2 linked regions of the Caenorhabditis elegans genome follow. The protein of the gene in region 2 interacts with the protein of the main gene of each other region in a pairwise test. Each region holds a gene or a part of one and is shown on either strand. Other genes may lie near its edges. The genes, in order: vpr-1 and hcp-2.

Region 1 (4,110 bases), on a different chromosome or scaffold from region 2:
TAGTCTATAACCTGGTTATAAAAATAGTTATTCACTGAGTTTTTTTCGAGTTATTTGAGCTATTTTTGCTCAGCCTGAAACTTCAAGTTTTAATTTTCTAGAAAAGTGCAAATTCCCCAATATTACTTCCATGTGTTTGTGTATATTTCTTCTATTAGCACATTAAAAGAACAAAAATCATTGTGTAAATAACCCCGATTGATTGATAGTTGGAGCCAGTTGTCCTTCTCCCCCTCTTATGTTTCCGATGAGTGTGTGATACGGGAAATATCTGTGTTGTCATGGAGAGTTCTCACATCCGGACGGCAGGAAAACAGAGAAACTAAGTCTAAAGCAGTACCAAGCCGAGGTGCTCTAATTGCGTCTGCACTCTCTCTCTTCCATTCAAATTCGCCGTCCTTTGCACTTTGTTTACGCAGAAGAGGACGTCTTTTTCATTCTAAAAGTCTTCTGTTTCTAGCTTCATCAGATATACATACTGCGACTTGTTAATATTCTTCATATGGATCAAATCTTCCGCTGACGCATAAGGCTATTAACTCAACTTTTTCAATTTCCGTCTCAATCTTTTTCATAAATGAGCTCAAATAATGATTTCAATCAGAGTGAAATTTTAAATATCGAACATTTCTAAACTGCAGCTCTTCTCGTTTTTCAAAAAAAGGTTCAATTGTCTGTTGTTTTGACTTGGAGGTTAATTTATAGGCTCCTGGGGAATACAAAAATTAAGATTTTATTGCATAGAACTGCCTTAGCTTAATCTTCTCTGAGTGCATTTTGCACATTCTACCAGCAAACATCTCATCCTAATTTATTCCATCTTCTTCTCTTATCCCATCGTTTTTTCTTCACGATGCTTGTGTTTTTTCGGTGCCTCTTTCGTCTCCAACAACGTGTTTCTCCTTCTCCAGGACAGCCATTTTCGCTCACACTCGTCCTCCCCTACCAAACGCACACACACACATCGCTCACACGTACACTCACACACTCGAATTATAAGTCAACGAGAGGGAAGAGACGTAGATACACTTTTCCTTCTGCGTCTATTATCTCTTACGCATCTCTCAGGACAACATTTTTTGAAAAACGTGTGCGCTCTCCACGTCTCACCCGAATTCATGTCATCTGACAGCGTTTCAGAATAATTTTTCAATATAATTTGTTATTTTCTCGAATTGGTTCAACCTTTGTTCAATACTGTGCAGTTTTGGACTTATTCGTTGTTAAAATATAGGAAATAATATTATTTTTTTGTTGTGTTTTTCATGTATCGGGTCATCCATCAGTTGCATCTCTACTTTTCTCTCCCCGATTATCAATTGACAAACGTTCAATTACTGGCTGAACAACGTTTTTGATGCCTTTCTGTTTAAATTTTGTTTATGACCTGTGTTGAATACACTCGTCCATATTTTTTTCAAATTTCAAATTCAAGATTATTGAAGACTGTATTTAGAAAGATAGACAAGCATTTGTATAACTTCTACACGATTTCGATTTTTTTTTCGTTTTTCGTTTTGCCAAGAGCAAATACGCTTGCCTCTAGGCACTAAGCACTGGCCAAAACTCAAGAGAAACTGATAACGCTAGAACATACACTGCGACTTTTTCATTTTATAGCTTTTTCGAAATTGCAAATCGAAAAAATATTCGTTTAGTGTTCGGTTTTGTGATGTACGTAAATACCAATAGAAAAAAAACAATTTTTAATTCTTTCGCCTTGATCCAAACTTCCTATCAATCTTTATTTTTTAACATAATTATTTTATATGAACTAACTTTTTTTTTCAGCAAAAAAATGTCTGAAAAGCACAGTCTTCTGCAAGTGACTCCAAATCGTGAACTCGTGTTCACTGGCCCATTCAGTGATGTTGTCACATCACACATGACTCTCAAGAACACATCAACCAATCCAGTGTGCTTCAAAGTGAAAACAACGGCTCCAAAGCAATATTGTGTTCGTCCAAATTCTGGTGAGTGATGGATTTATTTGCATTGAAATCAATTTGATATGGAAAAAGTGAAATTAAACGCAAAAAGAAAAATATGATTTGTATTTAGACCTTATCTGTTAGACTGGTTGATTTTTAAAACTGAAGTTTACTTTGACCTTCTGATTTTGATTTTTTAGGCCTCCTGAAATCTGGTGACTCGAAACAAATCACAGTAATGCTTCAACCTCTGGAAGGAATTCCATCTGATGCAGGACGACATAAGTTTATGGTTCAATCGTGTGTGGCGCCTTCGGAAGATCTGCCAGATTTGGAATCGGTCTGGAAAATAATCGATCCAGCGGAGCTGACCTACAGCAAGCTTATGGTCACCTTCGTTGACAAGAGAGATCCAGCGTCTGGAGATGATACAAAAACCTTTGCGGTTAGGAACGAGGATAGTTTTGCTTCTTCTGGACAGGCACAGTGAGTTTTTACTTATAATGGAGGTTAAAAGAAGGTTAACAATTATTGTTTCCTTCATAAACTTCATTCAATAAAAAACTAATATTTGCAGAGAGCTCGGAAGTTCGTACTCTGGAACACCATCGCATGATGGAACCGTTAACTCCCTTCGCAAATCGTTGAAATCGACAGTTGACGAGAAAGAAGAATTGCAAAAGAAAGTACATGGATTGGAACAAGAAATCGAAGTCATGCTCAAGGTAATATCAGAAAAGAAATTTGAAAAAATTAATTACACTTTGGAAAAAAAAATATGTGTTCAATTTTCTACAAAAAATATTTTCAGAAGAACCGCAAGCTTCAACAATCGCATTCTGATGGAGCTCTTGTCGACGGTGCATACCCAACATTGCAAATTTTCCTTATTGCGGTTGCCGCTTTGCTCATCGGGCTTATTGTTGGCCGTCTTTTCTAAATTCTGAATCAATTCTTCCTTCATTTTCACTTTTAAGTAACTAGTGGTACTATCATTCACGTGCTTTTTTGCTGCCACAAACATTAAAACACACAAGCATTGCTCCATTCGGATTTTCATCAAATTTAACCTTCAAATCCTAAATTTTCTAACTTTTTCTCTGCCAAGGGCGAAATTCTGAATATTTCAAAAATCAAAATGTTATTTTCTGCAATGTAAATTGACATATTTAACTTTTCGGTTTTTTGAAATTTTGAATACTTGCCTCTTTAGTGAACGCAGCGCGCAAAAATTTCAAACTTTTTCTCAAACTACTTTCACTTCTTTCCTTTGTTTATTCGTTTTCCGTTTTTCCCGGCGTCTTCTAGACCATCATAGATCCGTCTAGTGACTGCCTATCATCATACCCGGTAGCCATTATCAAGAATTTTATTTATTTATTTTCCATTCTATGGTTCCCCGTTCCCCCAACCTTTTCTCATTTATTTTATGTGTACAACCATTGATTGATATAGGACTCCATGGATTTTAAGAAAGCCCCATGCTCTTTGAAACAACCAATTTAAGTCACATGATTTGTATATGGTACAATAAAATTTGATGTTTATGGTTTCCAATAACTATTTTTATTTTTGAATTTTTTCGCCGTATTATCTCGGAGTATTTACCTGGAAATTTACGCGACTCGACAATAAAATGTCACTCGAGTGATGTTTAAAATTAATCTTTTTTCAGATTTTCCAAAATGGCTGGTAAAAAAGCAGAAAAAGATGATATGGCAACAGTGGAATTCGAATCTTCTGAAGAAGTAAATGTTATTCCAACATTTGACAAAATGGGTTTGCGAGAAGACCTTCTTCGTGGAATTTATGCCTATGGATTCGAAAAACCATCGGCTATTCAACAAAGAGCAGTTCCAGCAATTCTTAAAGCACGTGACGTCATTGCTCAAGCTCAATCTGGAACCGGAAAGACTGCGACTTTTTCAATTTCCGTTCTTCAATCATTGGATACACAAGTTCGAGAGACACAAGCACTTATTCTTTCTCCAACCAGAGAATTGGCTGTCCAGATTCAAAAAGTATGGATATAATAAATACAGAGTTGCAATAAAAAACACATTTTGCAGGTAGTTCTTGCTCTCGGAGACTATATGAATGTTCAATGTCATGCCTGTATCGGAGGAACAAATCTCGGAGAAGACATTCGCAAATTGGATTACGGTCAACACGTGGTTTC
Region 2 (6,753 bases):
TCAGCAGAGACGCCAATATGTCCAGGTAATCAGCAAGGCAATCAGTGTGTGTACTTTGAATAGAGTGTTTGATTCGCCGCTGTAACAATTCCGAGATTTAATTGTTTAATATTCTAATTAACTCACCATGCAAATCTCACTTGCTGTCATACATAGCCTCGCAGGAAACTCATGTATATCATGGTTTGTCGATAAATCTAACAACAACAAGGAAAAGTTTTCTAGTAGTCCAAACTTGTCATTTGCATCATCGATTAACTCTAAATAAATTATGAGCCATTGAACTGGTTTTTGTCGAAGTTCTTTATGCATAATCAAAACTTTGCCATGATCCTGTAGAAAGTGTTGTATCTCCTGAAATTGATAAATTATACATTCGAAGTATAAAAATGAAATTACATTCAATAGCTTTGGAAACGTCATGTGATTGGTCGACTTCTTCGCAGTTAATGAGTTAAATGTGGCAAACAGTTCATCAATGAACAGGGCCTGATCAAGAATAGAATTGTGCAGTTTTTTATATTTTAAGATTGTCAATCCAGCACGCAAGCAATTTTCGGTCATCGAGCAATCATTTTTCAGTTTGTCTTCCAACTGTGATCGGCAGTGAGGCCAAAACAGAACCAATTCATCGAAATGAACGCATTCTCCTGCGTTTTCTCCGAATAAAGTTGAAATGATATTCCACTTCAAATGATATCTAAAAAATCCTGAGGCACCTAATGAAATAGCTGAAGCAATTTCAGGAGTGATTAATTGTGGCAGAGAAGACGAAGGTTCGACGTCACAATATTTAACAACTTCCAGTAATCCTTGCAGGAAATAAATAGTTTCTCTCGGGTCTTGTTTCGTCACAGAGATCATCAGTACTGATAGAATTCGCTGAAATAAATAAAAAACATTGAATTATTGAATATAATTCTTGCTAACGTCAAAACATTTTGCCAATTCTTCATCCTCAAAGGCACACATCGACGCAATCACTGATTGAAATAATCTTATTTTTTCCTCTGGAACGAATATATTAATACAAATACTAAATTGTATTTTCTACCTGAAGAAAGTTCCTGCTTCTCTGTTATTAAATGTAATGTAAATGTTATACTCTGAAGGATCATTCTGAAAAAACATAAATATAATCATCATCTTCTACATTTTCCAACTCACATCTTTTCCATGAACTCATTTTCGTCTAACTGCTCGATTCGGGAAACGAAAGATTTCGATAACAATTTAGTTATGTCATCTAACAAGAATTTCATTTTTTGTCTGAAAATGTAAAATAAAAAAGTTAAGATAAGATTTAATAATTATACCTGTTGAATTCTTTCTGCGTCACATATTTTTTCGCCGTACATAGCAGAGCTGAAACATCCTTATCGATATTCATTCCCAAATATCTGAAAGCCTGCGCACGTTATTTCAGTGGTTCGATGGATATTTAACAATATTTAAAATATATTGCTAACGTTTTTGTGATAATATTATGAAGAATTCACTAATACTTACTAAAAATAAGGAAACGAACAAAGTTTAAAAATAAATTCCTTCCGCAAAAAAAATTAAGCAAAATATAGAGTTCGATTGGATCGAATATATTCGAATTTGCATTGCAAATACAAACTCGCCCTATTGAAACGGCGCGAAATTTTAAACGATTGCTCCAGTTTTTGTATTGTTTTGTTGAAAATTATTATTTTCTCGTGAAGTTCCAGATTCACTTCGTTTTATTTCGTTAAACGTGGACTGTTTTTTTCAATAGTGCAATTCCCCAACTCATTATCGTAAATTCTCAGACGAATTTGATCAAATTCAATATGGAGGAAAGTACAAACGACGGCGATGAAAACAAGCCTGCAACTGGGAAGGTAAATTAAATATTTTTGTATTTATCAAAAGCAAAACAATTTCAGAAGCGACAACAGCTTGAATCTCCGTTTTCTGCTGCGACACCGAAATCGCGTCTCGGAAAGGAATCGAAAAGGTTTTTCGGGCGTTCTGCTATGAATTTGGCCGATGGAAATCTTGAAGAAACTCGCATTGAGCCAGACTCGCGCCATTCGTCTACCAGTACCTCCGACTCTATTCTTGATGATTCTTCAATCTCCAATTTTTCCACACTCGCCCCGCCAAATACCTCCGTTGATGATAACAGTGTCTGTGAACCGCCAAGAGCTTCCTCAGCTCATGATGTCGATCCTAATTTGGAACAAACGAAGGTTTACAGTGAAGACAGCATCAGCAAAGACTGTAGCATTGCTGACGAGAGTTTTGCGACTGATGGTGACGTCACACTGGCGAACGACTTCTTCCAACAAGCAACGATTCAAGATCTAGAGAATACTCCGTCAACACCACTTCGGAGCCAGACACAAGTTGGAGACGAAAGTACACCAACTGCTCCTTCCCCACTTCGTTCGAAAATTCCAATCGAGAGTGAGGTTGTGCAGTCAACTTCTGTAGAGTCAGTTCAGTCAACATCTCAGCATGAAAAATCGAGAATTGAATATTCTTTGTAAGATTAATTTAAATTTATTCCCATTGTTAAATTGTTTATTTCAGATATGAATTCGAAATGCTGGAGAAAAATATCGAGCATGATGAAGTCGTTAAAGATCTTCAATTGAAAATTGAACTTCTTGGAGAGAAACATAGACAAACTCTTGTTGAAATTAAAGAAGCTCGTGAAGTTGAAGAGAAAATGCTCATGCAACAAGTGGAGGAGGCTGTAAAAAAGACGAAATCTGAGCGCGAAGCTGCAAAAACTCTGGAACAACTTCTTGAGAAACGGATTGAAGAGCTCGAGATGAAATTAACGGAGCCGAACGGAGAGAAACTACAGTTTGAACATCAGTTGGAAGAGTTGAAGAGTCGTTGTGAAGAGCTTACTGACAAAGCACTGAAGGTTGATGTCATGCAACACAGCATTGAGGACTACGAAAAAAAGTTTGTGGAGTTGCAAGAAATGAAAGAGGAGGCTGATGAACAACTGCAAAAGGCTAAGGAAGACATTGAGACACTACAGATGAAGTATGTGGAATTGGAGACAACGATCAACAAAGAGGTAATGCAGTTAATATCTTGCCTGAAAATTAATTATATTTTTTCTTAGGTGTTCTCCAACTCTGAAATTGAAACTCTGAAGTCGGAACATGAAATTGTTCGTAAACTGATGTTGGATGAAATCCATCGTCTTGAGAATGAAATGTCTGCTCTTCAACCGAAGAATGATACTACTGAACTGGAAGAACTTCAGAAGACTCTCGATGATCTCAAAATTGACTGTTGCAATTTGACTTCAAAAATGCTTGAACTTCAGTCAGAGCTCGTAGAAGTGAAAGAGAAAGCCACGTCAGAAATTGGGGAAGCTGTTCAGAAAAACGGTGAACTCCTGGAACAGGTTCGTAGTTCGAGTTTAGAAATAATTGCACTATATTTCTTATTTCAGATCAATAGCCTTCGCGTCGAAAATGCAAAATTGGTGGACATGGAAGGTCAGCTAAACGATGCACATCGTAAAGCGGAAGATAAAGATGTTCGAATCAGTGAACTATTGACTACCATTGAGTCTCTTCGTCAAGATTCTGAGGCCAGCGATAAACTTCTAATGGATTCGGAGTCTACACAAAATGAGTATTCGCTTGCTCTTGAAAACACAGTCTCTGAGTTGGAAACAATGCGAAGAGAATATAAGGCTTCGGTGGATAAAGTTTGCAGTCTTCAACTGGAACTAGAAGAAATTCAACATGAAACATCAGTTGAATTGGAAGAGGCGGAAATAAGAATTAAAGAATTGGAGTTGGCACAAGAAGAAGCTGTAAAAACTGGAAGTTCACAGCTCAAGAAGCTAGAAATTGTTCAAGAAGATTGTCAGAAGCTTCGTGATCAATTGAAGGAGGAACAAATTCAGCAACTTGTATCTCTTCGCGAGACTTCTGAAGTCATGCACCAGGAATCGGCTCGACATCAAGAAGAAAAGTACCAGATTCAGAGCAAGTTGATGTCGACGGAAGCAGAAGTTATTGAGCTGAGATCCTCTATTGATTCTCTCCAAGCTGAAGTTCGAGTGCAGTCAGATTCCGCCGCAGACCAAAAACACATCCTTGAAGATTATTTGAGAAAAATTCGGCAAGCAGAGGAAACCAACGAAAAACTTCGCTCTGATTTGGCCTCCTCTGAAGAACAAATTCTAGATCTGAAGAATCAACAGGAATCATTGATTGATGATTTGAAGGAAAAATTGCACTCTGCAGAAAGTACGAATCAAGAATTGCAGGTCTCTCTGGAGATGCTCAAGATAGAAGTCAGTAATGCTCGTCAGAAAGTGATGGAGAGTGAGGTTTTAAAAGAATCTTTCGAAGCCCTTCAACTGGAGTTGTCGGCATCACAAGAAGTTTCTCGATCAGTGGTTGATGCTGCAGTTCAAGAAAAAGATGGTCTTCTGAGACTGGTGGATACGCTGAAGTTGAAAATTGAAGATACGGAAAAGTCTGCTCAAGATCTTCAACAAAGCTCTGTGGAAGAGATAAAACAACTTCAATTGGACCTTCAAAATTTCAAACAAAATGCTGAAGTTCTCGAATCTCTGAATGAAAAACTAAATTCTAGTCACAAGAGGGATATGGTGGCGTTGGCATCTCAACTAGAAGAGCTTCAACATAAACTCGTCGTCGGAGAATCCCAAGTGGAAAATGTTAAGGAAGAACTGATTGGAGCTAAGATAATGAACAAGGAAATGGTTGATGAACTGAATGCGAAGCTTGGGGATGCTCTTGAAGGGATGGAAGAACTGAAAAAGAGCCTAGAAGTATCCGAAGCTAAAGTTCAGAGAAGAGAAGAAGAGGTTTAAATTCCTTAAGATTTCAGTCGAATTAAACTTGTTTTTCAGCTAATCGCTCAAGTATCGAAACATCGTGATCAGCAGGAGCAGCTTCAATTGACTCTCGACGAGCTCAAATCGGCTCAACATTCCACGGAAACATCCCGTTCCCAGTCAAATGAACTTGCTGCTCGTATCGAAGAGCTTGAAGCTTCCATCTCCTTTGCACAGAAGGCTCTTCAAGATGTAGAAGACGTCAAACATCAACAAGACATTCAGATATCTGAGGCGAATGAGGCAATGGTAAAGCTGAAGCAAGACTTTGAGACAGAGGTATATTCTTTCGAATTTCGAACAGAACATAATTTATTTCTTTTCAGAGGACATCACTTCAAAACGAGTTCAACCAAACTGTTTCCGCAGACAAAGAGCAGCTTGGTCATGCTGAACAAATGATTGCTCAGAAAGAAAAAGAGATTATCACTCTCCAAGCTCGAATCGAAGCGATGTCTCAGCAGTTCGAGGAGCGCCTTGAAGCATCGAATGTTTGGAAGACCCAAGCCATGAATGTCGGTACACTGACTGAATCGTTGTCTCAGTTACAAGTACAACTTCAACAAATGAATGAGAAGCTGGTTGCATCGGACAAATACGCAGTTGAAGTGGAGCAGCAAGCTCAGCATGATATAACTGTGATCCAGGAAGAGAAGAACGAGCAATCAGCGGCTCTAGAAGAAGCACTATCCAAAATAGCGGAACTTGAGGAGCAACTGGGAAGAGCCCAGAAGGAGATTGTACGACTCGAGAAGGTGTGTGACGATTTCGACGACGTTGAACGAGAGCTGAAGGATGCCATCTCGAAGCTTCAATCTGAGATAAAGCAATTGAAAGGAATCAAGAAACCACCAAAAGTAATGGGACTCCTTCAACAGGCCAGACTTGGGTAAGTCTCCATGATTTTCGACAAAACTCAGATATGTAAATCTTTGATATTTCAGAGTGAAGCCGCTGAGTCGTGAACATTCTCATGCGGAGCCACCAGAGCCTGTTGTTGAGGACAAGTTCGAAGATGCTCAGGATTCGTTCCAAGAAGAGTTTTCCCATTCGCCAGATGCTATCACGTCATCTACGGTACTCCATCCAGATGATCATCTTCAAGAAACAACTGCAGTTGAAACGCCGTCGAAGAAGGCGAACCGCTCAAACTGCAACCAGCAATAATTTGAACTCGTATTTTATTTATTTTTACTTTTTGTGTGCCATTACGTATTTCCGCGCACTACTCAACTGTGAATGTCTTTCCGGGTCAGAATAAATGTCTTTATGTGAATTTAAATTTAGATGATTGTGCTTTTATATTACATAGTCTTCTTCTTTGATGCATTGAATTGATTAATTAAATCCGAAAAAATACAGATCATTGATTATATTGAGTTTGTTTGATTATCATTTAAAAAATTGACCGTGATATTATCGAAAAAATACGATCGCACAAATTTCTCATAATTTATTTTTGATCTACCTTGTTGACTAGGCTCCTCCCCTTCCTTCGACAAGACGGCCACAACAAAATAACAACGGCAACAAGATTGGAGTTATGAGTTGGACTAACGAAGGACACGCCGACGGACCACATCTACCAAGAATGCAGAGTTCTCCCTTTGAAAGAAGAATATAAGCTCTCGACGCAACAGATGTACTTGGCAGCGATCAAGTCAAACACGCACCCGTGCAGAGACCTGGAAGCAAAGCGCCAACTGGAACGAACCTCTAAACCGCCAAGGATCCCGCCGCTGAAGCTATCGGACTCTGAAAAGCTCAGACTCGACAACATCCCAGGCGACAAGACGGAGGCCCAAAAGAAGAATCACACGAAGCTGGTAGCGGACTTCATCAGGAATGCACCAAACAACAAAATTCTCAACAAACCTCCA

Evidence for each region.
Region 1: the proteins of hcp-2 (region 2) and vpr-1 interact in a two-hybrid assay, tested with the Caenorhabditis elegans proteins (one large-scale study listed by BioGRID).

What each region holds. Positions count from the first base shown.
Region 1 is NC_003279.8:5,867,636-5,871,745, reverse strand, and holds vpr-1 (Major sperm protein), read left to right. Parts: upstream 1-1,791; 5' UTR 1,792-1,798; coding exon 1,799-1,973; intron 1,974-2,131; coding exon 2,132-2,417; intron 2,418-2,508; coding exon 2,509-2,656; intron 2,657-2,742; coding exon 2,743-2,871; 3' UTR 2,872-3,480; downstream 3,481-4,110. Other genes in the region: F33D11.10 (RNA helicase), read left to right, coding at 3,617-3,952, 4,001-4,110.
Region 2 is NC_003283.11:9,644,065-9,650,817, forward strand, and holds hcp-2 (HoloCentric chromosome binding Protein), read left to right. Parts: upstream 1-1,794; 5' UTR 1,795-1,817; coding exon 1,818-1,868; intron 1,869-1,913; coding exon 1,914-2,515; intron 2,516-2,562; coding exon 2,563-3,064; intron 3,065-3,112; coding exon 3,113-3,400; intron 3,401-3,448; coding exon 3,449-4,843; intron 4,844-4,888; coding exon 4,889-5,152; intron 5,153-5,199; coding exon 5,200-5,762; intron 5,763-5,817; coding exon 5,818-6,040; 3' UTR 6,041-6,147; downstream 6,148-6,753. Other genes in the region: atl-1 (Serine/threonine-protein kinase ATR), read right to left, coding at 1-79, 127-354, 400-882, 931-1,010, 1,055-1,119, 1,168-1,269, 1,317-1,390.